Linked DNA regions of Elephas maximus indicus. The protein of the gene in region 1 purifies or fractionates together with the protein of each later gene. This does not show direct contact. Links are inferred from orthologs where the notes say so. Each region holds a gene or a part of one and is shown on either strand. Other genes may lie near its edges.

The links.
Region 2: the proteins of PPP4R2 (region 1) and DHX38 purify together in Homo sapiens (affinity purification with mass spectrometry; 3 studies listed by BioGRID and IntAct, counting the BioPlex papers as one, with this or other methods). This does not show direct contact. The link is inferred for Elephas maximus indicus from reciprocal best matches to the Homo sapiens genes PPP4R2 and DHX38.
Region 3: the proteins of PPP4R2 (region 1) and TIPRL purify together in Homo sapiens (affinity purification with mass spectrometry; 5 studies listed by BioGRID and IntAct, counting the BioPlex papers as one, with this or other methods). This does not show direct contact. The link is inferred for Elephas maximus indicus from reciprocal best matches to the Homo sapiens genes PPP4R2 and TIPRL.
Region 4: the proteins of PPP4R2 (region 1) and PPME1 purify together in Homo sapiens (affinity purification with mass spectrometry; 3 studies listed by BioGRID and IntAct, counting the BioPlex papers as one, with this or other methods). This does not show direct contact. The link is inferred for Elephas maximus indicus from reciprocal best matches to the Homo sapiens genes PPP4R2 and PPME1.

Annotation. Positions count from the first base shown.
Region 1 is NC_064838.1:20,593,316-20,600,455, reverse strand, and holds the start of PPP4R2 (serine/threonine-protein phosphatase 4 regulatory subunit 2), read right to left. Parts: upstream 3,016-7,140; 5' UTR 2,788-3,015; coding exon 2,754-2,787; intron 1,771-2,753; coding exon 1,689-1,770; intron 1-1,688. UniProt on the Homo sapiens protein: Regulatory subunit of serine/threonine-protein phosphatase 4 (PP4). May regulate the activity of PPP4C at centrosomal microtubule organizing centers.
Region 2 is NC_064839.1:38,403,266-38,410,181, reverse strand, and holds the start of DHX38 (pre-mRNA-splicing factor ATP-dependent RNA helicase PRP16), read left to right. Parts: upstream 1-3,916; 5' UTR 3,917-4,005; exon of another isoform or gene 4,006-4,016; intron 4,017-4,044; exon of another isoform or gene 4,045-4,136; intron 4,137-6,352; 5' UTR 6,353-6,371; coding exon 6,372-6,694; intron 6,695-6,916. Other genes in the region: TXNL4B (thioredoxin-like protein 4B), read right to left, coding at 327-458. UniProt on the Homo sapiens protein: Probable ATP-binding RNA helicase. Involved in pre-mRNA splicing as component of the spliceosome.
Region 3 is NC_064821.1:216,493,359-216,500,720, reverse strand, and holds the start of TIPRL (TIP41-like protein), read left to right. Parts: upstream 1-4,346; 5' UTR 4,347-4,469; coding exon 4,470-4,573; intron 4,574-7,362. UniProt on the Homo sapiens protein: May be a allosteric regulator of serine/threonine-protein phosphatase 2A (PP2A). Isoform 1 inhibits catalytic activity of the PP2A(D) core complex in vitro. The PP2A(C):TIPRL complex does not show phosphatase activity.
Region 4 is NC_064825.1:48,323,647-48,331,328, forward strand, and holds the start of PPME1 (protein phosphatase methylesterase 1), read right to left. Parts: upstream 3,007-7,682; 5' UTR 2,770-3,006; coding exon 2,669-2,769; intron 1-2,668. Other genes in the region: C2CD3 (C2 domain-containing protein 3), read left to right, coding at 3,392-3,446, 6,338-6,607. UniProt on the Homo sapiens protein: Demethylates proteins that have been reversibly carboxymethylated. Demethylates PPP2CB (in vitro) and PPP2CA. Binding to PPP2CA displaces the manganese ion and inactivates the enzyme.

The DNA.
Region 1 (7,140 bases):
CTTGCTACAATAACGTATCGATGAAAATAAAAATGGTTAAAACTACAGAATTCGTACCTTAAGCAACCCATCAATCCTAAAACATCAAAGAGATCTGAACTCTCACTTTTTATATTTGCATTCTCCCATGACAATCTTAGAAATTAGACAAAGCTCCATTTAGCCATAAATGGATAAGAGAAATGGCAACTTTCACTATCAAAAGGCATGCCCACAGTTAAAAGTAATACAAACTTCATTAAATGTCAAAAGATGAATTTGAGAACACCAATCATTTTAACACAAAATGCTCTCAGTAAATATAGACCTAACTTGACAAAAAAAAGAAAAAAATTGTTTAAGTCCTCTATCAAGACAAATAATTGTTCAGAAAAATCAGATTAAATTTCTCAGCCGCCGGTGATCCAGTAAGGCAAGATATTAAAAAGCTGTATTTATTAATGGTGGTGATTGCACAATATTGCAAATACAGTTAATGCCACCAAATTATATACTTAGAAATGGTTAAAATGACAAATTTGTTATGTGTATTTTACTACAATAAAATTTTTTTAAAATTTTAAACCTGTCTTTTAGAAACTTTTGACTGTACATTTAGAGCCACTGTTTTTTTATCAAGAAGGAAAGGCAGTTTGTACAGAGCTGATTAGCTGATGAAGAGACAAGGTTTTAAATATTTTTTTCTTAACTTTTTCTAAGTTTAAGCGTTTTTCTCATTTCTAAATTTGGTTATCAGAGGACTATACTACAACCATAGCAAAACTTGTGAAAATGAACACTTGCTAATAAAACCACAGAAATTACGTATCACTTGAAGCTCACACTCTTCTGTTAGGCCTCAAAAAGTATTTTGAAAATAGGCATGAAGTAGGGGAGCCAGGAGAGCCCATTTATTACCACTGCACCCAAAGAAATCTTTCTCCTTCCTGTTCCCCCACCATTACCCAAAGGAAAGACAACAAGGAAGTCATCGAAGCTGCGTTGCTCTCTACAAATTAACTTTGCCCTCTACAAACTAACTCAGCCAGAGTGTGAAAACAACTCCTGCCACACAAACTACACACAATGGACTTGAATATTCCTTTTGAAAACAGCCCTAATTTACAAGTTTCAAATTCAGAACATTTGGAAACAAGCCTAATAAAATGGTAAGCATATGTAACAAGTTAGCTATCCTAGAAAGTTTACAGGACAGTCAAAACTTATCATCTGGAATTTGTCAGATAATCACCCCGAGTACTCAAGAGAATAGAAGTCACACACTTCAAACACCTACATCTATGACAACAAAAGCTTGGATACGGACAATAAGACAAAATACGACCAACAAAAGAACATGAAACAATCAAAGCCACAAAACCCTGGGGATAAAGCTGTTCATTATGGCCCAAAAGGGTCATAATGGAAAAGACAGTCTTCCTTTCTCAGGCCCTTTCAGACTAAGAAGTTCTAAACAGGCCTAAATGTAGATGTTAAAAAAAAAAAAAAAGGTAAACAATTTTTTAAAATGCATTACGGAGCATGCATAAAATAAATAAAAGTATATATTTATTACATGCTTTAAATGATAGTTTTTAAACTGTAGGAATGACACAGATTAATAATTCTTCCAGAATATACTTTTTTCTTTGTCCTATGCAATCCTGAATGACATACGTTTATAAAAATGAATACAGGTTTCAACTCACATTGTTTCTCCAGTCTTGGCTACATGACAAAGAAACTGATCCAGGACAGGACAAACTTCCTTTTTCCCCCTCTTCTCAAAATCTAGATAAGAGAAGAAAGAAATGTTATTAGTATTTCCCAAAGTCCATCAACCATTCCCAACACCTTAATACAAACTTTCCTCCCAGTCCTTCCCCATACTAAGAAACAATAATAAAATAAAAATTAAAAACTCATCTTCTCAACCAAACAGCCACCTCTACCCTCCCAAGCTCCACTTCCAACATGTCACCCACTTCACTGGTATTCACTGCTAACAGGACGCCTCCAAAAGGGGGCACTCGACTTCTCCAAAAACTAGCCTGAATACAGTGTTTCCCAAAGTGGGGTCACGGGGAACACCAGCATCCGCCTCACCAGGGAATCCGGTTAAAATACAAACCTCCAGGCCCGACCCCATTAACTGTTTATCTAGGTGAAGTTCACAAGTCTACGTTGTAACGAACACCACCTACTCGACGGAGCCACCCCCAAACGATTCTGAATTGTCAAAACATAATTCTCAAATCCCTGAAACCATGATATTCCAAGTTTGGGAACCACTATTCTCAAGCCTGTTGCTTGGAAGGCGACCACCTTTTAGAATTAGGGCGCGTGCAAAGATGCCTCCAGAAGCCCTGAAAGGCTTCGTAAGACAACCTAAAAGTTGCTTTGCCAGCGCCGCCCCCCCACCTACCCTTTTACTTTTTCTCTCACCCCGATGCCCGGCATGCGGGAGCCTGACGGCGAACCGAGCCTGCCTGCGAGGGGCTACGACCTGTCCCCGCCGGGGTGGGAGAGGGGCTGGAGCCCCTCCGAGAGCTCCCCGACTCCCCTCCCCCAGCCCAGACGCCGGCGGCAGACACAAAGCCCAGAGCGGGGCGGGAGGGAGCTGCCCACAGGGCTCCCCGCCCCTGGGAGGTGGGAGGGGGAGGGGAGCCGGAGACGCGCCCTCCCGGGCCCGGGCCGCGGAGCCACCGGCCCGGAAAGGAGAAGAGAGAGGGCCGCAGAAGGAGGGGAGAAGGGAGAGGGGCAGCCACCCCCACCTTTCAGCGCCTCCTGCAGCCTCTCGACGTCCATGGCTTCCCGGAGTCCCTCGCAGCCTCCGCCTCCCGCCGCGGGTCTCCCCGAGACCGGAACGCCTCCCCCCACCCCCCCGACGCCCTCCCCCTCCCTCGCACACACTCCGGCACGCAGGCGACCGGGGGGGGCACCGAAGGGAGCCGGGGGAAGCGAGCGAGAGAGCGAGACCGACAGAGCGAACACCTCCCCGAGCCGCTACCACCAGCCCTCCAACATGGCGCCCGGCACGTCACCGCGCGCACGCTCCCCGCCGCCGTCCTCGCGCCCGCTGCGCGCCCCGAGCCGGGAGCCCGAGAGCGCGTGCGCGGCGGAGGCGTGCCGCCGGGCGGTCCCGTCGACCCGGCCTGGTGGCGGGCGCCGCATCCTCCGCCTGCGTGGTGCTCCTCGGCGGGCCCCCGCGGTACTGCAGACAGCACGGTAAAGGAGCGGGTTGGGAGCTGACTCGCAGGATTCGAGTACCCTAGCTAGCTGTGTAACCTTGAGCAATTTACTTCTCCTCTCTGAGCCTAATTTTCCCAATCTGTGCAATGAGGGGAAACCCTGGTGGTGTAGTGGCTAAATACTGCGGCTGCTAACCAAGAGGTCAGCAGTTCGAATCCGCCAGGCGCTCCTTGGAAACTCTATGGTGCAGTTCCACTCTGTCCTATAGGGTCGTTTGGTACAGTGAGGGCACTGGTTCCGACCACCCTATCTATGCAGTTTCTGTGAAAATTAAGGAAGAATGTGTACACACAGCGTTCAGAGTATGAATAAAAAGCACTCTGTATTACAGCTATTAATAGTGACAAGAATACCTCTGCCCCTGAACTCGACGTTCACTCGTCACTGACCCACCCGTGAAAAGAAGCAACGCATACAGCAAAGTGATTCAGAGCTCAAGCTTTGGAATCAGCTGAATTCAAATCCCACTCCACTACTTACTCCCTCTGTGGCCCTGGACAAGTTACAACTCACAGAGCCTCAGTTTCCTTGTCATAAAATGGGAATTGTAAAACAGGATTGAGGATTGCGTGAAACGGTGTGTATGAAGCACTACAGGACCTGGCACTTGGTGAGCACTTAGTTAACAAGGCTCCTGCTGTTTTTAGTATCATTGTGATTAAGATTACATTGCCTAGGCACCCAGGAAACTAAACAGGGGACTGCAGAATCCTTCTCCAGCGCTGACATTTAACAAACGGGAAAGCTGAGGCATACAGAGCAAGTCCGGCAAAACAGCAACTGAAACTGGGACATCTGGCTCCCAGCCTTTGTGTGGACATTTTTGTGCTCTTGTTATGTCCGTGAACTTTTAAAGGAAAAGGCACTGGACTGTTGCACCTTCTCTTCCCAAAGCCTAGCAGAATGTCATGAAAGAAAGGAAGAAAGAGAAGGCAGTTTCTGGGCTTGTCTTGTTGTTGTTAGATGCCGTGTCAAGTCAGATCCAACTCATAGCAACGCTGTGCACAGTAGAACGAAACACTGCTCTGTTCTGTGCCATCATCATAATCGTTGCTATGTTTGAGCCTATTGTTGCAACCACTGTGTCAATCCATCTCTTTGAGGGTCTTCCTCTTTTTCCCTGACCCTCAGCTTCACCAAGTGTGATGTCCTTCTCCAGGGACTGCTCCCTCCTGATAACATGTCCAAAGTACATGAGACAAAGTCTCTCTGTCATCACTTCTAAGGAGCATTCTGGCTGTACTTCTTCCAAGACAGATTGTTCATTCTTCTGGAGTCCACGGTATATTCAATATTCTTTGTCAACACCATAATTCAAAGGTATCAATTCTTTGGTCTTCCCTATTATTCATTATCCAACTTTCGCATGCATATGAGGCAGTTGACAACACTGTGGCTTGGGTCAGGGACACCTTAGTCCTTCCTCAACGTGACATCTTTGCTTTTTAACACTTTAAACAGGTCTTTTGCAGAAGATTTGCCCAGTGCTACACATCGTTTGATTTTTTGACTGCAGCTTCCATGGGCATTGATTGTGGACCCAAGTAAAATGAAATCTTTGACAACTTCAATCTTTTCTCCATTTATCATGATGCTGTTTATTGGTCCAGTTGTGAGGATTTTTGTTTTCTTTATGTTAAGGTGTAATCCATACTGAAGTCTGTAGTCTTTGATCTTTGGTTTGTCTTCCCAAACAAAACCAAACCCACTGCCATCAAGTCGATTTTGACTCATAGCAACCGCATAGGGTTTCCAACGCTATAAATCTCTATGAAAGTAAACTGCCTGTGGAGCTGCTGGTGGTTTCAAACCACTGACCTTTCAGTTAGTAGTCAATGGCTTCAACCATTATGTCACCAGAGTTCCTTTGGTTTGTCTTAGAAAGCACAAATTTGTATGCAGCCGTTACAACTGTTGACACTCTTAAAAGGTAGTGGCTGTGATTCTTACCCTAGGTTACAGATGCAGGCAAAAGTCTTCCACACCCAAAATACCTCTCTGGAGTGTTGTAGTTGGAAAACCAGTTCCCTTCCATTGTCTACAGCATTCAGCTCAATTACAAATAGCCTTGTAGGGGTGGCAATAGGGTGTCATCATCAAACACTTGGTCAGCACTTATGATGCACTAAATTTAGTTTTTCATGGCCCCTTCTAGTCTGAAAGGGCCTACTGTGCCTACATAAAAAGCCTGTCCTGCACTTCTGACACCCAGTCTTTTTTTTAGGCAGGTCACTTGCTATACAAAGGTCCCTGGGTGGCACAAGCAGTTTCCACTCAGTTACTATCTTAAAGGCTGGCAGGTTGAATTCAACAAATGATACCGCTGAAGAAAGGCCTGGTGATCTACTTCCATAAGGATTACAGCCAAGAAAACCTTATGGCTCTACTCTGCAACACGTGGGGTCACCATGAGTCGAAAATGAATCGACCCAACAGCAACAGGTTTGGTTTTGGTGTCTCAGTGTAAAAGCTGGCTGTGTAATACAGTTCCACTAACCTCATGTGACTGTTTAAATTCCAGTAAATTAAACAGGAGTAAAATTGAAAATTCAGTTCCTTAGTTACACTAGCCACATTTCAAGTGCTCAATAGCCTCGTGTGGCTAGTGGTTTTTGTATTGTGCCTTGCAGATACAGAAAACTCCATCCTTGCCCAAAGTTCTCTTAGACAGTGCTGTGTTGGAGGAACTCATTGTGCTAATTTCTTCCTCCTTGCTTTGTCCCTTTCATCAGTCATTCCCCTCACTTGGGCATGCCTTTCATTTCCAAACTGGATAAGGTCTGTGACAGGAAATAAAGTGGACACAGCAGTGACAGCCTAAGGGAATCAGGGAAAGCTTCCTGGAGGAAGTGGTGTTTAAGCTGAGACCATTGAATTATGAGAGGAAGGGAGCGAAGTGAAGTAGATAGGAGGAGAAGAGGAGCTATCAAACAAAAAACCAAGATGCCTTGAAATGAAAGAGAAGAGCCAGGTGCATTCTAAAGATACATAAGAAATTCAGTCTGACTTGAGCTGAGAATGCAAGGGGAAAAGAGGCAAAAGAGGAGACTGAACAATTATTTCCTTTGGTTCATTAGTTCTTTCTTCCTTGGATTTTTTTCCCTAGCTAGCATGTATCCCAATGTCAGTGATTCCTTAAGCCTCCTATTAGTACTAATTCCCGTGGAGGATAACAGCATACAAATGTGGTAGCCAACCTCCACAATGGCCCATCTTAGTTACCTATTGCTGCTGTAATGCAAATACTGCAAGTGGAGGCTTTAAAGAACAGAAATTAATTTTCTCACAGTTCTGTAGGCTAACAGTCCCATTCAGGGTCTCAGCCCTGTCGATTCCTTCCTTGTTGGTAGCCCCGGGCATTCCTTGGTTCTTGGTGATCCTCACATGCCATCTCTCTTCCTTAGTGTCATGGATTGAATTGTGTCCCCCCAAAATATGCATCAACTTGGTTAGCTCATGATTTTGTGTATTGTGTGGTTGTCCTCCATTTTGTGATTGTAATTTTATGTGAAAGAGGATTTGGGTGGGATCGTAACACCCTTACTAAGGTCCTGTCCTTGATCCAAGGTAAAGGGAATTTCCCTGGGGTGTGGCCTGCACCCCCTTTTATCTTACAAGAGGTAAAAGGAAAGGAAAGCAAGCAGAGAGTTGGGGACCTCATACCACCAAGAAAGCAGTGCTGGGAGCAGAGCGCATCCTTTGGACCTGGGGTCCCTGCGTGGAGAACCTCCTAGTCTGGAGGAAGATGAGTAGGCAGACAGAGGGAAAGCTTTCCCCTGGAGCTGACACACTGAATTTCGACTTCTAGCCTACTCAACTGTGAGAAAATAAGTTTCTCTTTATTAAAGCCATCCACTTGTGGTATTTCTGTTATAGCAGCCCTAGATGACTAAGACACTTAGTATGTGT
Region 2 (6,916 bases), on another chromosome or scaffold:
AGTGGGGCTACCATTACCTCACTATTTTGAGGACTGAATTAGATAATGTTTGTAGACACTTGTTAATAATGTTTTCTCCTCTTATACTGCGTTGTTGGTGAAACTGAGCTTCAACAGCAAGTAGTGGGGAAGGACACCCAGGACAGATTCAGCACAACCACAGCTTTGGGGATTCAGCTCAGTGGAAGGAACATCATCAGTCTTTAGTGAAAGTGTGCTGAATAGTGAACAGCTATAGCCCCAGGCTCTGCCTGCTCCCCTTCATACATTTTGCAGAAAATGTAATCATTTTTAATAAAAACCATTTATTAAAAAAATTCACTTACAATATCATCTAGCTGCAGACAGACAGGATCCTCGTCTCTCCCAAACCTGAGAACCAACACTTTCTCTGCAGTACTTTTTATTGCCTGGTCTACTTCTTTTTTGCTGATCAGCTTGGGCAATAGGAAGCTCATCTTGAAATAATCCAAATTATTAATTCTCGCTGGCAATCCTGAAATAAAGCTGCAATGTTTAAAGACAGTTTGAGTGCATGAGTCCTAACTATGTAAAAAAAAAAAAAAACTTTTTGGAATAGGTAATTATATTTACGTGGTATAAAAACAAACAATACAGAAATTTAAAGTGTGAAAAGTCTTCCCTCCTTGCTTTTCCCTCCTCCAGCTCAGTTCCCATTTCCCAACCTCCCCCTGAAGCCCCCATCAGGTATTATTTTTATCAGTTTTTTACATATCTTCCAGAGTACAAATATGCATTCCTATATTTCTTCCCTTTTCACCCAAAAGATAGCCCACTCTATCAATGTTCCAGCAGGAAACAGATGGCACCCTCAACTTTGGTAATTTGAAGACAGTTTAGTGAAGGCAGGATGTAGGAAAACAAGGTATAGTGCAAAACTTTGGGGCTAGTAACCGTGGAGACATGGGAGGGAGTAGTTACCAGAACTGGATGGTGGAGACAGCTGAGTGGAGAGTGCTGTTGGCTAAGCAATCAGCCTGCAGTTAAGGGATGCAACCACTCTCCTCCCTCCTACTAGTGCTCCCATGGCTGCCTCCAAATGAAATCATAGGGCAGGGGACCTGCTGAGGCAGGCCAGCCTCCGGGTCACAGAACAGTCTAGAGGAGGAAAGGCATGTCGGGAGAGCAGATGGAAGTCCAGCACACACTTTATCCACTCTTCGCGCTTTGCATTTTTTACCTAACATACAAAGATTTCATACTTATATAGAAAACTTCCACTTTCTTTTTCATAGCTGCGTACTACTTCATATCATACTATTTAAACAGTCCGTTATTGATAGACATTTGTATTAGGGACATGGCAAACAGATCAGCTGAAGGCGTGTAGGAAACAACAATCAAAAAAACACAGAAAATACTGAGATAGAAAGGGCCTTACCCATCCCCCTCATTTTACAGACTAGCTTGCTTATAGTTACACTTCTAGCTCTACAAGGACTAGAATTCAAACTACCAAATTTCTACTCCAGTGCTCTTTCTACTATATAAGCTTCTACTTTTATTATTGAAGAAATTTCATTTCTAAGGAACTTCTTAACAAGGAGTTTTTTGTTTTTTTAGGCCAATCTTGAGAGATTTCATTGAAATATACTTGATATTTTGAATTCAGTTCCAAAGCTGGCTAATGTTAAGAAAAAGTGAGAATTTCTTTCATTGTATTTTTGTGATATGTCATATCTTAAGGTATGAATAAAAATTCCTGCAATAGGTCATACTTTAAACAGGGAAGCTGATTGTCAACAGGGAATTCACAAACTGTTGGTATCAGAACAAATTACCGATGAAAAGTCAAAGAGAAGATTAATCTGTCCCACCACTAGATTGCAAACATTCAGAAACTCCTCTATGTTGCTGATAAAGAGAAGAAGGTGAGGGGAGGGCAAAGTTGTCAACAAGGAAGCCAGGGGGGGACTGGATGGAATGCTGGAAGGAGAGGGAAATTGAGATGACACTTAAGAAAATGTCCATAGCAAAGGATACTAACAGGGAATTCACAAAACAAGAGGTACAAATGGCCAATCAATCATAGTTAAACTGTGATGCGTTAAGATTGTGTGTCAACTTGGCTGGGCCATGATTCTCAGCGTTTACATGTGATCACTCCCAAGATGGGATCTGCTGTGAGTAACCGAGCAGTTGAAAGGAAGTTTCCTTGGGGGTGTGGCCTGCATGAGAATATATGCAGCCATTCTGGCTTTTTGCTTGCTCTGGATCCTGCGGCTGCCTCCTGTTCGTCTGACCTCTGGCTCTTGGGACTTGAGCTAGCAGCTTGCCTACCAATATTGGGACTCAGCGATCTTCACAGCCTGTAAGCGAGAGCCCTGCTCTTTGATCTGCCCATCTTGGGTTCACCAGCCCCAGCAGCTATGTGAATCAGGAGAAACTACTATTCTGATTCACAGACTTGGGACATTCCAGCCTCTACAATCAGTGTGAGCCGTTTCCTTGATATAAATCTGTGCATTCATACGCTCTACTGGTTTTGCTTCTCTAGAGAACCCAGCCTAAAACATAAACTTTACTAATAACTAAAGAAAAACAAATTAAAAGATAACTTTAAAAATCCACTAAATTTGCACAGATTAAACAAGATAATAATATACAACAATCACACCAAATGTGAATGTTGGGGCTGGTATTAATCATCCCTGCTGGAATGCAGAGAGGCAAAACTATTCTGGAAAGAAAGCTATTCTTTGACCAACTATTCCATTAAAAAAAATTAATACATAGGAAATAATCATACACGTGCAGAAAGATTTATTGTGTAACATGTATTCATTACATTTATAATGGTGAAAAATTGGAAACAACCTAAATGGCTATCAATAGGGGACTGATGACATAAATGAACACAGTCCTGCAATGGGCCACTATACAGCCACTAATTTAGAGATGAACAATTAATATACTGAAATATTCTCATGATACATAGCTCAAAAAAAGTTACAAAACGGTATGTAAAGTATAAACCCAATTTTACATGAACCGTAAATATAATGTATGTGTACATATTTGCATAGAAAAATTGCTGGACGAGTAAACATCGTAAACACCATCAGTGGTTATTTCTGGGTGTGGATAAACGGGTGATTTTTATTTATTTCAGGGTGTGCCTCTGTCCAAGTATCCTACAATAAACATGTATTATGAGAGAAATACTTGATAAACTTTTTAAAGATGCCTGTGGTTAGACTGGGAGCCCTGACGGCGCCGTGGTTAAAAGCGCTGGCTGCTAACCCAATGGTCAGCGGTTAGAACCCACCAGTGGCTCGGCAGAAGAAAGATGTGGCGGTCGCCTTGGAAATCGTATGAGGCAGATCTACTCTGTCCTTTAGGGTCGCTGTGAATCGGAATCAACTCGAGAGGGCAACCGGTTTGGTGGCTGGGCTACTCCTGTCTACAACTGCCAGGGAAGACACACTTACTTTACTTGTACAAGTCACCTTCTTCCACTTCAGGGCTGTCAGCAAACGGGACCCCTTCTCGGAAGAAGCGGGACACACGTGGCGCTTTTCTTCAGCTCCAACTCAGGCAGCGACCCTAACGCCAAGTAACCGAGGGGCTGTTGCCTAGCAACCCTCCGCTGACCACTTCCGGGTAAAGAAACGAGAAAGAAAACGCACTGGTGTAGTAGATACTGAGCGGTCGCTGGTCAACCTCCGTTTAACCGCCCAATATGCAGGCGAGATTATTCTAGTGACCGCCCACTTTACCGGCTCTAACCGGAAACCCTAGAGTCACTTCCGCCCATATTAAATATGATTCACCTTTCTTCTTCAGCTCTTCCCCCCCTCCCCCATACTAGACGTTGGATAGTACCTTTGAGACTAAGCGTGATTGGCTCGCGAGGAGACTCAAAAGAGGATAGTCTAGCCTTGCCAGCCAGGTCGCGCTTTGTCCCACTCCTGGAACCAGGAACCGGCGTTTGGCGGACTGCTCTCGGTGGTATCTTTGCGCGGATAGAGAAGGCCCCGCAAGGTATCATGGGGGTAAGAATGGCGGCTTTCAAGGTGCGGATTTTGGCTCCCTGAGGCCGCCTGAGCGTAGAGTGGCGGCGCCGACGCCCCACAGTCCGGGACCGAAGGGCCCGGAGAGTTGTGCTCGCTGCCGTGAGTGTCCCTTCTTTTTCCTGCCCTTGCCACTCCGGGCCGCTCCCGCGGCGGATATCGATCCCTTGCTCAGGTCCGGGTTTGAAAAGTTAACTTTTTCGGTTGTCACCCAACTCGCTTTTTTCACCTCAGGGATGCGTTCCGGTCCTTCCTGCCCTGTCCCCTTTCTTTGCTCCGGTCAGATCCCTCACCCCTCCTCAGGCCCCTGCCTTAGCTCACTCCCTGACCGATGATCAGCCGGAGTAGGGCCCCGTGTGTCTTCCTCTGTTTTTTCACGCGGCTGTCGTTACCAGACAACTTCGTGGGCGATCACCTCTAGATGTCAGCTTCAAGAGTGCGAGAATTTTTGCCTGTTTTGCTTTCTGCTCTGTCCCTATTGCCTAGAACAGTGTGATTGGCTCAGAGAAGGCACTCAGTGAACAATTGTTGAATGAGTTAATCTAGCTTTTTCTTCACTGTTTTTCTCATACCTTTTGTGGCGTCTTTGTCATTAGTTCTCCAGAATCTAGCCTCTTCACGCCTTATTTTTTGTTCTTCAAAGCTAGTTAAGGCCTCTCTGTCAGAAACCTTTTCGTGTGCTCCTTTGCTTGATGTCTCCATAAACTTGTGGCGTCTGGTTCTCCTTTGATATGTTTAAACTCATTCATTTATTCCTCAAACGTTTGTTTTAACTAGGTGCTGGGCTAAAGCAGTCAACAAGATAGACGAGGTTCCTTTAGTTGTATAGAATGGTATTCTAGAGGTAAATTTTCTAGTTTAAACTACAGCTACTCAAAGCCTGTATGTTTCTACCTCCCTGTTTGGAGTGTCGCACATGTATACAGGTGTCACCAATATGCGTCCATCTCTTTTATATTCTGCCTAATATTTTCAAAATGCAGCTCTTGCATCTGATTGATAATGTGTGTCCAGTCTGTTTGACTGTACTCTCAATGTAGAGCTGGGTGTGTTCATTAGAGCTTGGCAAAATATTTTGGATTCTGGTGGCACCCTACCCTTTCCTCTGCTTCACTGACTTGTTGGAATGAGGGGAATTATGCAAGCACTCAGAATAGGTGTATGTTTGCAATGCCGTGTAATGAGAAGTAAGAAGAATTTGTTACTTGTTGAAGGTCAGGAAGTCTTACAGTCACTTAAACAAAATATTTTTCAGGAACACCGTTCCCTAGAGTTTCTCATCAATGTTTTTGGTGAACATCAATAGTTATTAAACAGATTTTGACTGCTGTGAGGTAATTCTTTTCTACAAAACACACTGGTCTGAAAAAAAGCCACCAGAGTATGGATAATATGGATGGCAGCCTAATACCCCAACATCTCTATGTACTCTGTTGTATCTGTAGTTTAAAGAGAGGGATAGAGTAGAAGAATAGAGAGTACATTCATGAAAAAAAAAAGTGGCAAGGGACCCACTCAGTATATAGGAGTGTGGTAAATAATGTAAAAACTTTAGTTATATAACTGTTTATGGTTATAAAGGAGCCCTGGTGGCACAGTGGTTAAGTGATAGGTTGCTGATCGAAAAAGCAAGGGCCCTTTGAACCCACCAGCTACTCAGCAGGAGGGGAGAAAGATGTCATAGTCTGCTGCTATAAAGATTTGCAGCCTTGGAAACCCTATGAGGCAGTTCTAATCTGTCTTATAGGGTCACTGTGAGTCAGAATTGACAGCAGTGGGTTATAGTTACATAGAACTTTCACATGTACTTTCTTGTCTGATCCTCATAATAATCCATATTTTAGGTAAAGCAAGCATCGTTTTCACTTTATAGACATGGAAGCGATGGCCAGCCAAAGATTAAGTTATTTGCTTGTAATCACGCGAATAGACAGTGTCAAGAGCCTGGATTCTAACTCAGGTTTTATGACTTCAAACCTAGGGGTGTTTCCACTACATTGCCTGTACAAATGCTGCTAGTCCCTCATAACTGTTCCTTAGTGAAGTCTATTCTTGTCTGGATGATACCCTTTTGGATTCTGGGGGGATGTTTGTGTGTTTCTGGTGTGTGTTTGGATTCTGCAAGGGGGTCTTTCAGGATTGTCAGTGACTTGACTGAAAGTTTTTTGCAAGATAAGCTAAAGATATCCTGGTCTTGTTGCAGGGATGGGGAGAATTAACCCCTAAATATACCTGTAACTATAGGTATTCTGGTATATTTCAGAGCCTAACCTTCTCCTGTTTTATGTCTTGTCTTAAATGGTTTATTCTCCTGCCAGGGAAATCCCATAGCCTGTGATGGAGGACAGCAGCGAGGATGCTTCGATCCATCGACTGGAAGGCACTGATCTGGACTCTCAGGTTGGTGGTCTTATTTGCAAGACCAAAAGTGCGGCTAGTGAGCAGCATGTCTTTAAGGCCCCTGCCCCTCGCCCTTCATTGCTGGGACTGGACTTGTTGGCCTCCCTGAAACGGAGGGAGCGAGAGGAGAAGGATGACGGAGAAGACAAGAAGAAGTCCAGAATCTCTTCCTACAAGGACTGGGAAGAGGGCAAGGATGACCAGAGGGATGCTGAGGAGGAGGACAGTGACCAGTCCGGCCGAAGTAGCCGAAAAGACAGGTAAAGGCCTTAAAAAAAAAAAAAAACCGAACCCACTGCCATCAAGTTGATTCTGACTCATAGCAACCCGATAGGACAGAGTACAACTGCCCCATTGAATTTCCAAGGAGCGCCTGGCGGATTTGAACTGCCAGCCTCTTGGTTAGGAGCAGTGTCACTTAACCACTGCGCCACCAGGGTTTCCGGTAAAGACCTTAGGAAGGATTAATCCAAAGGGAATGA
Region 3 (7,362 bases), on another chromosome or scaffold:
AAAGTATGTTTTTCCACTTATGTAGGACTCTTTTGGTTTCCTGCAGTAGTGTACTGTAGTTTTCTTTGTATAGGTCTTTTACGTCTCTGGTTAAGATTTATTCCTAAGTATTTTATCTTCTTGGGGGCTACTGTAAATGGTATTGATTTGGTGATTTCCTCTTCGATGTTCTCTTTGTTGGCATAGAGGAATCCAACTGATTTTTATATGTTTATCTGATGTCCTGATACTCTGTTGAACTCTTTTACTAGTTCCAGTAGTTTTTTTTTGTGGATGCTCTGGGGTTTTCTGTATATAAGATCATGTCATCTGCAAATGGAGATACTTTTACTTCTTTCTTACCAATTTGGATCCATTTTAATTCTTTTTCTTGCCTTATTGCTCTGGCTGGGACTTCCAGCACAATGTTGAATAAGAGTAGTGATAAACGGCATCCTTGCCTGGTTCCTGTTCTCAAGAGGAATGCTTTCAGACTCTCTCCATTTAGGATGATGTTGGCTGTTAGCTTTGTATAAATACCCTTTATTATGCTGAGGAATTTCCCTTCTATTCCTATTTTCTAGGAGCTTTTATCCATGAATGGGTGTTGGCTTTGGTCAAATGCCTTTTCTGCGTCAATTGGTAAGATCATGTGGTTCTTGTCTTTTGTTTTATTTATGTGGTGGATTACACTGATTGTTTTTCTAATGTTGAACCATCCCTGCACACCTGGTATGAGTCCCACTTGGTCATGGTGAATTATTATTTTTGATATGTTGTTGAATTCTATTAGTTAGAATTTTGGTAATAATTTTCACGTCTATGTTCATGAGGGATATTGGTCTGTAATTTTCTTTTTTGCATGTGGTGTCTTTACCTGGTTTTGGTGTCGGGGTTATGCTGGCTTCATAGAATGAGTTAGGGCGTATTCCATCCTTTTTTATACTCTGAAATACCTTTAGTAGTAGTGGTGTTAACTATTCTCTGTGAGTTTGGTAGAATTCTCCAGTAGAGACGTCAGGGCTTAATTGATAGATTTTATACTTAAATAAAAATACCCGTATAAAAGGAAGTCTTCATCATGTCTTATCCAGGAAAATCAGGGACAAATATTTTGGGAGGGTAGGTAGGAAAGCACTGGATTCGGTGGCCTGGCAATTTTCTATTTAGGCCAGATTGCAGAAAATGATGTAATGATCCCCCCCCCCCAAAAAAAGAGCTCAAACTTAATTGGGACTCACAACAACCCTAAAGGACAGAGTAGAACTGCCTTGTAGGGTTTCCAAGGAGCAGCTGGTGGATTTGAACTGCCAACCTTTTTGTTAGCAGCCAAGCTCTTAATCCCTGTGCCACCAGGGCTCCAAATGTTTTACACTAAGATGTAAATGACTGATTGAGTTAATCAGCGATCTGGTACTGTATATCTAAAACCAGTTGAAATTTTAGATGAAATTGGACAGATAGAAAATATACATTTTAAGGGACAGGGAGCCTTGCTTTTATCACTAAAACAATGTCTTGGAACTCCATTGTCAATCTGTTATAAGAAAAGATGAGAATACAATTTTATGATAAAACTTGTGATTGGCAAAAAGCAGGTGCTCTGTTTTGGCATTCATTTGGATGAGTGAATGGACAGTGGTAACTGGAATGAGTGAAGTCGGCTTAAACTGACATGTTGGCTCAGGGGAAGAAGTGATCTAATCCAGCTACAGGGGCCAGGGAGAGCCTTTTGGAGGTGGAGTACAAATGCAAAGCAGGTTATTCTAGGCCTGAAGATCTATATCTTTAACAGGTTGCTAGGTTGTGTGTAAAACATGACAGGTTTGAAAATGACTCTCAGGCAGCTGGAAAAGAAAGAGTAAGAGCTCAGCCATAGGGCCAAGTATAGGTGGGTAGGGTTTAGAACTGCTGGAAAAAAGGCTGAAAAGTTAGATTTGGGAGATGACCTAGCATCAAACCATCGCATTTTGAGGAAACAAACTGAGGCCTAAAGATAGTTAAGTGGTTTACCAGGGATGCACAGCTGTAGAGTTGCAAAAGTGGAATTAGCACCCGGGTCTCCAGTATTGTTTCCACTATATCAGGTGTTTAGGGACTAGCTAGACCATGGGCAGCCTTGAATACCTGAAAGATGAAATTTTTTGACAGGAGTCTATCTTAGTTAATAGTGACTAGATGGCCATTTTTAAATCACGTGATGCTGGACCTCCTGCACTCTAAAGAATTACTTTTTTGTGCCTCAACAGGAAAATTCTGGGCACTTACTCTTTACACCAATTCTCTAATACAAAAGGTAATTACATTGCTTTAAGAGGTCTGTAAGGAGCTATAGGATTGCTATGAGTCGGAATCAACTTGACGGCAGTGGGTTTGGTTTTTTTTTGTTGTTGTTGTTTTTAAGGATTACATCAAAAGAAGATGAAAGGAACTTGCAGAGGCTCTATACCCAAAAGAATTGGTTGATGTTCAGCCATTTCAGGAGGTAGCATATGGTCAGGAACCGATGGTACTGAAGGAAGAAGTCCGAGCTACACTGAAGGCATTGGTGAAAAAACAAGGCCCCAAGAATTGACGGAATATCAATTGAGATGTTTCAGCAAACAGATGCAGTGCTGGAAGTGCTCATTGTCTATGCCAAGAAATTTCAGAGACAACTACCTGGTCAACCCACTAGAAGAGAGCCATATTTATGCCTATTCCAAAGAAAGCGAAAATTATCCAACAGTATCATTAATATCACACGCAAGTAAATTTTGCTAAAGGTCATTCAAAAGCACCTTCAGCATTACATCAACAGGGAACTGCTAGAAATTCAAGCCAGATTCAAAGAGGACGTGGAACCAGGGATATCATTGCTGATATCAGATGAATCCTAGCTGAAAGCAGAGAATACCAGAAGGATGTTTACCTGTGTTTTCGACTATGCAAAGGCATTGGGCTGTGTGGATTATAACAAATTATGGATAACATTGCGAAGAATGGGAATTCCAGAACACTTAATTGTGCTCATGAGGAACCTGTACACAGATCATGAGGCAGGTGTTCAAACAGAACAAGAGGATACTGAGTGGTTTAAAGTCAGGAAAGGTGTGCGTTGGGGTAGTATGCTTTCACCATACCTATTCAATATGTATGCTGAGCAAATAATCCGAGAAACTGGACTATATGAAGAAGAACGGGGCATCAGGATTGGAGGAAGATCATTAACCACCTGCATTATGCAGATAACACAACCTAACTTGCTAAAAGGGAACAGGCCTTGAGACACTTACTAATAAAAACCAAAGACCACAACCTGTAGTACGGATTACACCTCAACATAAAACCAAAAAAAAAACCAAACCCAGTGCCGTGGAGTCAATTCCGACTCTTAGCGACCCTACAGGACAGGGTGGAACTGCCCCATAGAGTTTCCAAGGAGCGCCTGGCTCGAACTGCCGACCCTTTGGTCAGCAGCCATAGCACTTAACCCCTACACCACCAGGGTTTCCATTAAAAAAAAAAAAAAATTTTTTTTTTTTTTTTTTCGGAAAACAAAAATCCTCACAACTGGACCGGTAAGCAACATTATGATAAACGGAGACAAGATTGAAGTTGTCAAGGATTTCATTTTTCTCAGATTCACAATCACACTCATGTAAGCAGCAGTCAAGAAATCAAAAGACGCATTTAATTAGGCAAATTGGCTGCAAAAGACCTCCTTAAAGTATTAAAAAGAAAAGTTGTCATCCTGAAGACTAAGGTTTGCCTGACCCAAACCATAGTGTTTTCAATCGTCTCCTATGCATGTGAAAGCTAGACATGAATAAAGAAGGCTGAAGAAGAACTGACGCCTTTGAATTGTGGTGCTGGAGAAGAATATTGACTATACCATGGACTGCCATAAGAAGGAACAAATCTGTCTTGGAAAAAGTTCAACCAGAATGTTCCTTAGAAGCAAGGATAGCGAGACTTTGTCTCAAGTACTTTGGACTTGTCAGGAGTGATTAGTCCCCTGGAGAAGGACATCATGCTTGGTAAAACAGAGGTCAGAGAAAAAGAGTAAGACTCTCCACGAAGTGGAGTGACGACAATGGGCGTGCAAAGGGTCGCTATGCGTCAGAACGGACTCAGAGGCACTTAACAACAATCACATCTTGGACTCGCCTTCCGAAGAGCAGAAGAGTACGGTGCACCTCTGACCACACCCCCTGCAGATGAAGCCCTACCCCTCAGCCTTTGCTCCCTTTTTCCCCACCCCGGTACGCCGTGACGTAAGACGTGGGTCACGCAGCATTGACAACGGGACCCGGAAGGAAAAGCGAAAGGGCGGAGAGGAGGCGGAAAAGGAGTGTCCCGCGTCCGGGGCGGCAGGCTGGGGGCGGGGCCGGGCATGGTAACGGCTCGGAAGCCGTGGGGCTGGGCCTGAGGGAGGCGGGGGAACCGGTGCCCGACGCCGCGGCCGCTCCAGCCTGCTCCGTGCGGCCGTCGCGGGCCCCGCTTCAGCCATGATGATCCACGGCTTCCAGAGCAGCCACCAGGACTTCGCCTTCGGGCCCTGGAAGGTGACAGCTGCCAAGACCCACATCATGAAGTCGGCGGATGTGGAGAAGTGAGGCCCCGGTGCTCGGGTGGGGACGCGGCCCGGGAGCTGGGCCCGGGCGAGAGGCAGGGCGAGCTCCCCGGGTGGGACCTTTGAGTGACGGACAGCACGTTAGTCGTGTCGCCACCCCCCCACGGTCGGCTGAGGCTCGCCAGGCGCCGGGGCGTGAGCGCAGCGTGACGGCTCTGACGGACTTTGCCCGCCGAACGTCTCTCCCGCTCCAGCCGCCGCCGCCGTCGGCCTGTTTCTGTTAATGGTTGTGGCCTGCTTTCCTGGGGGTTAACCCCAAACCACAACAGTCTAACTGGTTGTCAGCCAGTCGCTACTGTGTAGGACTGAGTGGAACTGCCCCACAGGGTTTCCTAGGAGCGTCTGGTGGAGCCCAGCTGCCGACCTTTTGGTTAGCAGCCGAGCTCTTACCACTGGCCACCAGGGCTCCGGGGGTTAACAACGGGGCTGCTAGAAATGTTTAGTTTTTAGCAAATCAGGTACCCAGCCCAGTACTTAAGATATAGAAGGTGAAAGATGTCCTCTGCCTCAAGGAGTTCGCAGTCTCATGAGAGACAAGTGAACAATTACCAGACAGTGTGAATAACTGTTTATGATAGAGATGTATAAAACAAAGCAAAAAAAAAATCCAAACCTGTTGCTGTCCATGTGACCCTGTAGGACAGAGTAGAATTGCCCTATAGGGTTTCCAGGGAGCGCCTGGTGCATGCAAACTGCAGCCGAGCTCCTAACCACTGCACCACCAGGGGTCCTAGAGATGTGTACCAAGTAAAACCAAACTCTTTGCGACCGATTCCAACTCATAGTGACCCTATAGGACAGAGTAGAACTGCCGCATACGGTTTCCTAGGAGCAGCTGGTGGATTCGAGCTCCTGACCTTTTGGTTAACAGCTGAGTTCTTAACCATTGTGCTACCAGGGCTCCCTGTTAGAACCACCGTATGTAATTTTATCCAGAGTAGTGATGTTATCAGAGTGTGCGCTCTGAAAGGTTGTTACGGAGGTGATGTGGAGGGTGGACTGGAGGGATTGTAGGGCAAGGAGACCAGTCAGATGGCAGGAGAGAGACGAGAAGTTTGAGGAGATGAGCTCCTGAACTTGATGGCCAGTTGCTGGGAGAAGAGAAGGAAGGAGAGGAATCTGTACCGATGTCCGGATTTCCAGCTTGGGCTGTTGCATGAATATTATCTCCAGTAAACAAGGTGGGAAATACAGAAGCAGATTGGGGATAGGGCAAGTGAGCAGTTAGATAGAGAATAAATTTAGTTTTGAAAATACTTGTCTTAATTACCTAGTGCTGCAATAATGGAAATACCACAAGTGGATGGCTTTAACAAACAAATTTATTTTCTCACAGTTAAGGAGGCCAGAAGTCTGAATTCCGAGTGCTGGCTCTAGGGGAAGGCTTTCTCTCTATGTCAGCTCTGGGAGAAGGCCATTGTCTGTCTCTTCAGCTTCTGTTTCCTGGTTCCTTGGAGATATCCATGTGGCTTGGCACCTCTGCTTGCTTAATCTGCTCATTTTATATTTTTTAAGAGATTGATTCAAGACACACCCAGCCCTAATCCTGCCTTATTAACATAACAGACAATCCATTCCCAAATAGAATTATAACCACAGGCCTAGAGGTTAGGATTTACAGCACATATTTTGGGGGGACATAATTCATAACAATACCAAAATGGGAAGTGTGTGTGGTCATAAAGTAGGCATTTGGTTGTATTTATCTTGAAGCTCAAAAAAGATGACTTGCCTGTGAGTTTAGGTTTGGGAACCATAAGTTTATAATTGGTACCTGGAGCCCTGGGAGTAAGATCATCTGGAAATCACCCGAAGGAAAAGAAGAGGTCCTGAGAGGGAACTCTAGGGAGCACTGGCATTTGTGATTCAGGTGGAGGGTGGTTACCAGGGAAGGCAGTCCTGACAGGATGTTTTGCTTCCTAATTTAAAAGGAAAAAAAATTGTAACATTTTTGCAGACTTGTTAAGAAAATACAGAAAAGAAGGGGAAAAAATTCATTTTCATCCTACTACAGATTGGGTTACTCTTTGAGTTACTTTGTCTGTTATGCATTACACCGTATGTAATTGTAGTGGTTATAAAGCAGTCAGCATTTATAATTTACTTGCAGACTCTCCTAGCGGTGCTGGATCCATGGAGAGTTTTAAGGAATTCAAATTCCAGATCTTTAACTTCTTTTTGTATTATTTCTAAAATATATCTATCTGAATATACTTCGTCTTCCTTCCATATGACATAGGAGAGCCTTACCCTCACCTATCCTAAATTTTTCAGCGGTGCACTGCTCTAGGGTATAAAAACCTCTAGAGTGCTAAATAAATTATTAGGTTAAATATTGGTTTGAGGAAGCATTCTTTAATAAATATTTAAGGCATTTTAAACCCATAGGAGCTTTCATAATTTCCCTGCCATATAACTGGTTATACCTATTTGTCGAGTCACGGAGTGGTGCAAATTGTTACGCACACAACTATTAGCTGAAAGGTTGGCAGTTCGAACCCTCCCAGAGGTGCCTCAGAAGACAGGCCTGGTGATCTGCTTCTGAAAAGTCACAGTCACCCTGTGGAGCAGCTCTACTCTGCACACATAGGGACACTGTGAATCAGCATTGACAATAGCAGCCTGTTTGTTAAGAGCAACGCTTGATGTTAGAAATAGCGTATTTGGGCCTGTGTTTAAGATACTCTGAAATGAGAATGTTTGAAGCAATGTTAAGTTAGTGACAGTGATTCTTTTACATATATAACTGGAGTATTTTGTAGGACTAC
Region 4 (7,682 bases), on another chromosome or scaffold:
CAAATTAGTATTTCCAGGATAACAACTATGAATCCAAAAAACAATGGGTCTCAGAGTCAAGTGACCCTAGTCCTTAGTGGCCCTACCACTAAGTTCCTAGGCTGCCTAAGAGCAGGAACACCTGAGCCTCAATTTTTTCGTTTATCAAGAGAAAATATCCCCTGCCCTAGCTTGCCTCACAGAATACAGAATTCTCTGAGTCTCAGTTTCCTCAACTATAAAATGAAGTAGTGAAATGAGATCACTTCTAAGCTCTTGTCTAGCTTTATGAGTCTAGATAAGACAGTCCATTCTGTCACTACCATCAGACTTAGGTGAGGCCTTGCCAAGGTACCAAAAAGGAAGCAGAAAACAAAAATATAGGAAAATAAGCCACTTGAGGATCACACAAAATTCACCAATATAGTAAAATCATGCTCTTCTCTTCCCAATACTATGATAAAAACGCATCTTCCTAAATAACTTTATTTTTTCAAGATAAGCAGCCAACCTAAATCACGAAGCCCAAAGCATCTATTTAAAAAGGACAAGTTACTGAAAAAGTTAAGTTACTAACAACTATACAATCTTCTAATCAGCAGATTTCTCCTTTGTTTTCTCGTGGTTATTCCCCCCCACCCCTTCCTCTTCAGAGAACTGGTTTTGACAAGGTGAGGAGCTGAGCTCTAATTAAACTTACTGAAAGTACAGAGCCCTAGTGGCATGGTGCTTAAGAGCTTGGCTATTAACCAAAAGGTTGGCAGTTCAAATCCACCAGCAGCTCCTTATTAAAGCCTATGGGGCAGTTCTACCCTGTCCTATAGAGTCACTGTGAGTCAGAACCGACTCAACAGTACCTAACAACATCAAAGTATATATAGTTTAGTTATTTTTAAAAATATATTTTTTATATTTATAGAGAGAGTGTGCTGGTATACTGAAAGAGGAAATTTTAGTTTGAAAAAGGCAACAACTAAATGTTACATTAATTTTATACCCCAGATTAATTCTCCCAAATAATCTGCTATGGATCAGTTTCCAGATTCCCTTTATTCATGTTAGTCCTACCTTCCATTCTTCCAAAGCCAAAGCAATCCTCATTTTATCTTTCATGTAGCCTTCTACCACGTCTTTCTATTGTGCATACACCAATCTCTCTCCTTCTGTCAAAGTTTCCTCATTTCTTCTACTGTACATCTTCGTTTCCTTCCCTGGTTTCTCCAACCATTCTCACCATCTCTCTGCCCCACTGTTTTAATTTATAGGATTCTCCTTTCCCTTCATTCCTAGGACCTAATTTCACAGTACTGCATCTCTTGCTTATTTCATTTTTGATCAGTTTTTGTAAATTATTACTTCTTCAGAACCTACAGTTTCTCCTCAGGAGTCCTCGTTTCCAGAATATCAACCAACCCACCTCTGGAGTCCCAAACACACATTCTTCACTACTTCATACCTACATATCCTTCCTACCCCTTTTCTACAGTCACTAGTCCCCAGAATTCTGACACTACAAACACCCCTCAATCCCAACTGATTATTCAATTCCCTTTACTTTCCAGCAATTGCCTCTCCCATCTTCAACTTTTATGACTTCTTTCTGTTGCCTAAGTATCCCCAAACCTGGCACAAGCCATTCAGTGACCTAAAATTCCAAAGCCTATCCCTTCCACACGGCTCCATCTCTCCCAATCAAACTGTTTTCCCCCAACACTTTCTTATTTTAAGCAGCTACTCCCAATGCTTCATGACTTCTCTGAGAATTGTAAGGCCAGTACGTTGCTTCCCTCAAATCTACTTGTCCGGCAAAAATCAACTGTCCAAATCTTTTTCTTAAAGCTTCCCAGACCTCGCCTCTGCATCATTTCCATTCACTAAACCCTATTCTTAATCATTTCTCAATCCCTAGGGCCCACCATCACTCTCTAAACTCCTCAGACCTCTCCTTCGTCACTCCTTCCCAGCTTCTCAAAAAACGTTCCTATTACCCTTAACAATCTTCCTGGCTATATTCTCCATCTTTCTTTAGGCCTATTTACCAAGCTTTCTCAGTTCACCCTTAAGAGACCTAATCTATTAGTCACCCCTCACTCCCTGGATCTGTCTCTTATGCCTCTGGGAACTCTGTCTAGAACCTTCTGCTCCTAAGCTCTCCTTTTTTCTTCCCCAACCCTACCTCAGGTGTTCCCTATGCCCCTCAGCTTTTCTAAAATCTAGTTCTCACAGTCTTCTTACTACTCCCAAGCCGTTCCCCCAATTCCCCTCAACTTTTCTCTCAGTCATTCCGTATTTCCTCCAGCACTGCCTGGCACATTTACCTCCCACCTTTGTCACGGCTCTATTCCTTTCCTCAAACCTCTTTCATTCCTTCCTCTGGAGGTGCCTCCCACATCCCTTAATTATCCTCTCAGTTTCCCTAATCTTTGCCTCATTCCCTTTCCCTTGAACATCGCTATTCCTCTAATTTTTCCTTCAAGCCAGTCTCTGATGGTGTCCTCCAATTTCCATTGACCTGGCGACTCCTCTAGTCTCCCAGATCTGCCTTCTACTCCAACCAAACCTCTCCCAGGCCGCTGCCAGCGTTCTTCTATCCTTAGCCTCTCCTCCCGTGCTGCTCTAAACGCCCAGAAACGCCATTCTCCAATGGCCGGGGCCTGGCCTCTAGGGAGAAGGGGTATGGGTCACGTACCCCATTCGCATCTTGGCTCCGCTCTGACTGCCCCCGCTGCCGGGTAGGGGAGGGCGAGAGGGCAGGCGGCCAAGGTGCATGCTCTTCTCGAGGGCCGACATGAAAGCGAGGCCGCACGTACTCAAACAGCAGCCGAAGCTTCGTCCCACGTTAAGTGTGGGCCAACCGGTCACAGATGGCTCCCTAGCGACGCCCTGTCGCCTTTAGACAGCCCTCAGCCACCGGCAGCACCGCCTACCGCCCACCGGCTCCTCAGACTCCACCCCCTCTCTCAGCACCTCCACCGGAAGTGCGCCACAGCACTCCCACAAAGGAAGCTGGGTAACGGAGTCTGCGGACCGCTGAAACCCCAAGTGGAGAACTCGACAGCTCTCGCCGGAAAGACGAGCCCTCTGAAAGGCAATGCACCCTGGGCAATGGAGTCGTCTAAGGGCCTAGCCCTTCGCGCTTGCGCAGCGGGAGGTGACCGCTTCCGACCCCGCAGAGGTAGCATAGCAAAGCATCCTGGGTGTTGTAGTCTACTGGCGGGAAGGAGTCTTGGCGCCTTCCATTCTGACGGCTTCCCAGAAACTGTTAAGGAGAGAGTTGCTTTTTCCTTCCTCCCAGGCTGCCCAGCGGCGCCGGTTGCCGGGGAACGCTGGCGCCAGGAGAAGGGATGGCGGGAGGGTAAGACGTCGGTGCTGGGTCCGGAGCTAAGTTGGTGAAAAAGAGCTCGGGTTCGGCATGAAACAACGAAAAGGCCAGGGACCTGGGGGTGGCCGTGGCCGCAAAAAGAGAGGTAACCCGAGCAACCAAAGGCTGAAAAAAGCGTAACCGGGCGGGGTTTGGGCAAGGAGCAGGGTTTAAAAGAAAGATGGGACGAAGAAGGAAAATAACCAAGGAGTCAGAAGGTTAAAAGAGAGGACAGTTGGCCCTCCAAAGAATGAAAAGGAAATGGGGTGCGACGCAAAAAACGGGAACGAGTGGGCTGGTGAGGGCTAAAAAGGTACAAGTAGGACATCTCTAGGAGAGGGGAAGGAAAAATTCCAGGAGTGTTTTTAATAACAAAGTTAAACGTGTGGGGGGGGGGTAAAGACTTTGAAGGTCTTCAGGGGGCCACAGGAAACATAAGTTGGAGAGGGGACTAAGTCAGTGGGCAAGAACGTTTTATACATTATTGGATCCCCAAGGACTAGCGCAAAGCATTACTCAATAAATGTTAGTTGAATGAAAGAAGCAAGTGAGGCCTACCAGCGAGAGTTGGGAGAGTTGTGCAACAGAGAGGGAGAAAAGAGTGGGTAGTGACGAGCTGAAAAAATAAGGTCCCAATGTGTCGGATTGGACTTAACAGCAAAGGGGTAGTGACAAGGTGTGGTAGGATTGGAGTGGGAGTGAAGGCATGAGGATCTTCTGAAGGATGTGAGGTGGCTAGGAAGGGGAACATTAGAGGGCAGGCTGCAGAGATGCAAGAGGACCTCATTAGGTTAGGACACTGATGGAGAAACAAGGTGTCCAAAAGGGTAGGAGTGTGTTAGCTGTAGTGAGAACAGTCATGCTAGGAACCCAGGGCAGATCAGAAAACTGGAAGTTGGATCTCTCTAGGGCTGCCTTCAAGAAAAAAAGAAAATTAGGTGGCCATGACTTTTTTATATTATGGGCACTTTAAGAGACCCTGGGTGGTGCAAGTGGTTACATGTTCAACTATTAGCTGAAAGGTTGGTGGTTCCAGCTCACCCAGAGGCACCTCAGCAGACAGGCCTTGCCATCTGCTTCCAAAAGGTCACAGCCTTAAAAAACCCTATGAATCAGTTCTACTCTGCACACATGGGGTCACAATGAGCCAGATGGCAACTAACAACAGCAACAGTGAAGAAAGGGTATTAGGAATACTGATAGTACATTAAGGCCATTGGGTTGAAGGCTGAAGCTACTGTATGGGAAAGAATCTTATCCAAGCTGTAAGGCAGTTGTGAGGCAGTGCTTTTCCTGCCAGATATGGTAGGAGAATCTGATACAGAGACATGGAGGTTTTCAATGCCAGTGCTCCCTTTGGCAAATCAGTCAAGCACATTTGATTGATAAAAGACAAACCAAAGTAGAAATGACAACCGTAGTATAGAAAATAACGTCCTTCTTGCTATAACAGATGCATATGCAGTGAGGCACATGTACAAACCTGTGTATAATTTTTATATTGAAACTAATTATCCGTAAAGATTTCATTGTTGTTGTTAGGTGTGGTCAACTTGATTCCCATTCATAGTGACCCTATAGGACAGAGTAGAACAACTCCATAGAGTTTCCAAGGAGCGGTTGGTAGATGTGAACTGCTGACCTTTTGGTTAGCAACCGAGCTCTTAACCACTATGCCACCAGGCTCCATAAAGATTATGGTGGGAGTTTTTCCATTATGAAGGGCAGTAAAGGGTATTTGCTTCAGAAACCTAAAGAATTATTTTTGTAGATTCCTGATCTGTTAGATTCTGGTTCAAGTGTATTTTCTTATGAGGCATGACCACTCTTCAAGAGAAAAGTCAGAGGAAAACTCAAAGTCACATGGTGAAATGATGCTGTGAATGGAAGACAAGGCCGTTAAAGCAAAGCTTCATAGAAAGTCATGATAATTGCCCCATGTTGATGTATTATCTTTCTGAAAGCCAATAAATATTGTGAATCCAACAATGTTCTAAAAAGTAGCGGCAGAATGTAAAGATGATAGTCTCTGTCTTCATTGACTTTATGATTTTGGTAGGAGAGACAAGACACAGTTTAAGATGGTCTTTATTGAAATATTGGATTGTGTGGCACACACTAAATTGTTTGGGAGTTCAGTGAAGGGAGTTGTTGCTGTTTTATGTTTAGTTGATAGTTTTTTAAAATAAGTGAATTGGGTAAAGATAACATATCTTAAAAATCATGGATGTTGCCTTAAAACATCAGTATTTGGCAGCAAAAATTCAGCTATTTCTGAGATTTTAAAAAACTGTATCATTGTATTTGTATTTTTTAAATTAATTAATTTCAATTAAAGAGAAGTTTATATTAGTATGTCTTAAGTTGGTATGTTCTTTACTTAGAATAACCTGACTCAGAGCCTAAATACTAATGGGCTATCAGGATGGCTGGAGTCTCTGGTTGGCTCAAATGGTTATAAACACTAAACTACTAACTAAAGATTAGCGGTTAAAACCAACCCGGAGGCACCTCGGAAGTGTAAGGCCTGGCTTCCGAGAGGTCCCAGCCTTGAAGACCCTGTGGAGCAGTTCTGCAGTGCAAACGTGGTCACCATGAGTTGGAATCAATGTGATGGCAACTAACAACAACAATCAAAACCAAAACCAAACCCACAGCCATCGAGTCAATTCCAACTCATAGCAACCCTATAGGACAGGGTAGAACTGCCCCATAGAGTTTCCAAGGAGCACCTGGCAGATTCAAACTGCCGACCTCTTGGTTAGCAGCTATAGTACTTAACCACTACACCACCAGGGTTTCCCAACAACAATCAGGGTGGTGTAAACGACCAGATAGGTTATTCCACAGCCTGGTTAGCTAGTTACTTATCATGTATTGAAGTAGGTAGAAAAAACCTTCTCTCTGTAGAGACTAAAGTGTTTTTTGTTTGTTTTTCATTCATGATTTTTATATTTAGTCTAAATTTTGACTCAGGGTTCTTGGATTATTCCACAGCTTTGAGTGATATTTCTCCATCTACAAGCCTTCCACCTCTGGTTGAAGGCCAATTGCGCTGCTTTCTGAAACTTACTATTAATAAAGTCATATGGAAGATTGCAAAGCCTCCCACTTGTGTACTTGTCCGAGTGAGATGGTGGGGAGAAACATCAGACGGAACCTTCTTTTGTCCTAGAGATGCTTTGCAGACTGAGCCAAAAGCTGTGAGAACAACCACACGTTATGCTGTTCGCTGTGGTCCAAAGCAGTTTACCTCTTATCTAACAGGTATGTTTTTGTCTTATTTAACCTGCAGGTCTAGTAAGCATGTGGTTATGTTGTTAGCAATAAGTGTTATTGTGTTCCTAGTATGTGGTGGGCATTGCTACTTGTTGAAGAGTCAAAGAGGCTTTATAATAACCATTTTATTGAGTATACACCATGTGCTAACGGTTTATATGTATTATTTCTAATCTTTAGAATAACTCTGCAAGATAAGTAGTTCCTCTGTTTTGTAGACAGTGAAACTGAGATTCAGAAAGATGAAATGAATACTCTCTAAGTCACATGGTTGATAGATGGCAGAACTAGGACTTGAGACACCAAAAATCATGCTCTTTTCACTATACCATGCTTCTTCAGTTAATAAGTGTAATGTCTCTGCTTTTGGCTTACATTATGCCTGAGGAAAGAGACTGCAGATGTAAAATTTACTGATAATACAAGATGATACATTCTAAGTGCCAGCTGAGTAGTTTAGTGAGTTAGCAATACATGTTTTCAGAGAAGAGAAGGATCCCTCTGTAAGGATCCAGGAAGCCAAGATTTTTTCATTTCTGTGTGAAGAAAGTATTCCAAGGGTATTGTGCTAATTCTTTATCCAGGTCAGGTGTTCACATAAACACATTTTGAGTAGTGGGCTTATTTATCAAATCATACTGGTTCGAGTCAGTAAAAATTAAGCACGTGTCATGTAAACATTGGTGGGCCAGGAATAATGGAGAGTCAAAGGTGAATTAAAAACTAACCTGTCCTTAAGTAGCTTACATCCTGTCAAGAAAAAATTTTTTAAAAATCAAATTAAAATATAAAGAACAGCACAACAGTAAATGCTGTAATTTAGTCATTCAACAAATGCATATTGAATACTTACTATGTGCTAGTCAATGTGGTTGGCACTGTGGGGGTTTCAAAAATGAGTCAGAAAAAATGAGAAGTATCTAATTCTAACCAAGTTCACAGAGAAGTTTAGTTAATAATGGGTAGAAAGTGGTGCTATTAAAACAGTATAGATAACATGCTATGAGAATTTTGCTTACTGTAAGAGTGAAACAAGCTATTGTGAATGTAGAGGAGTGAGCTA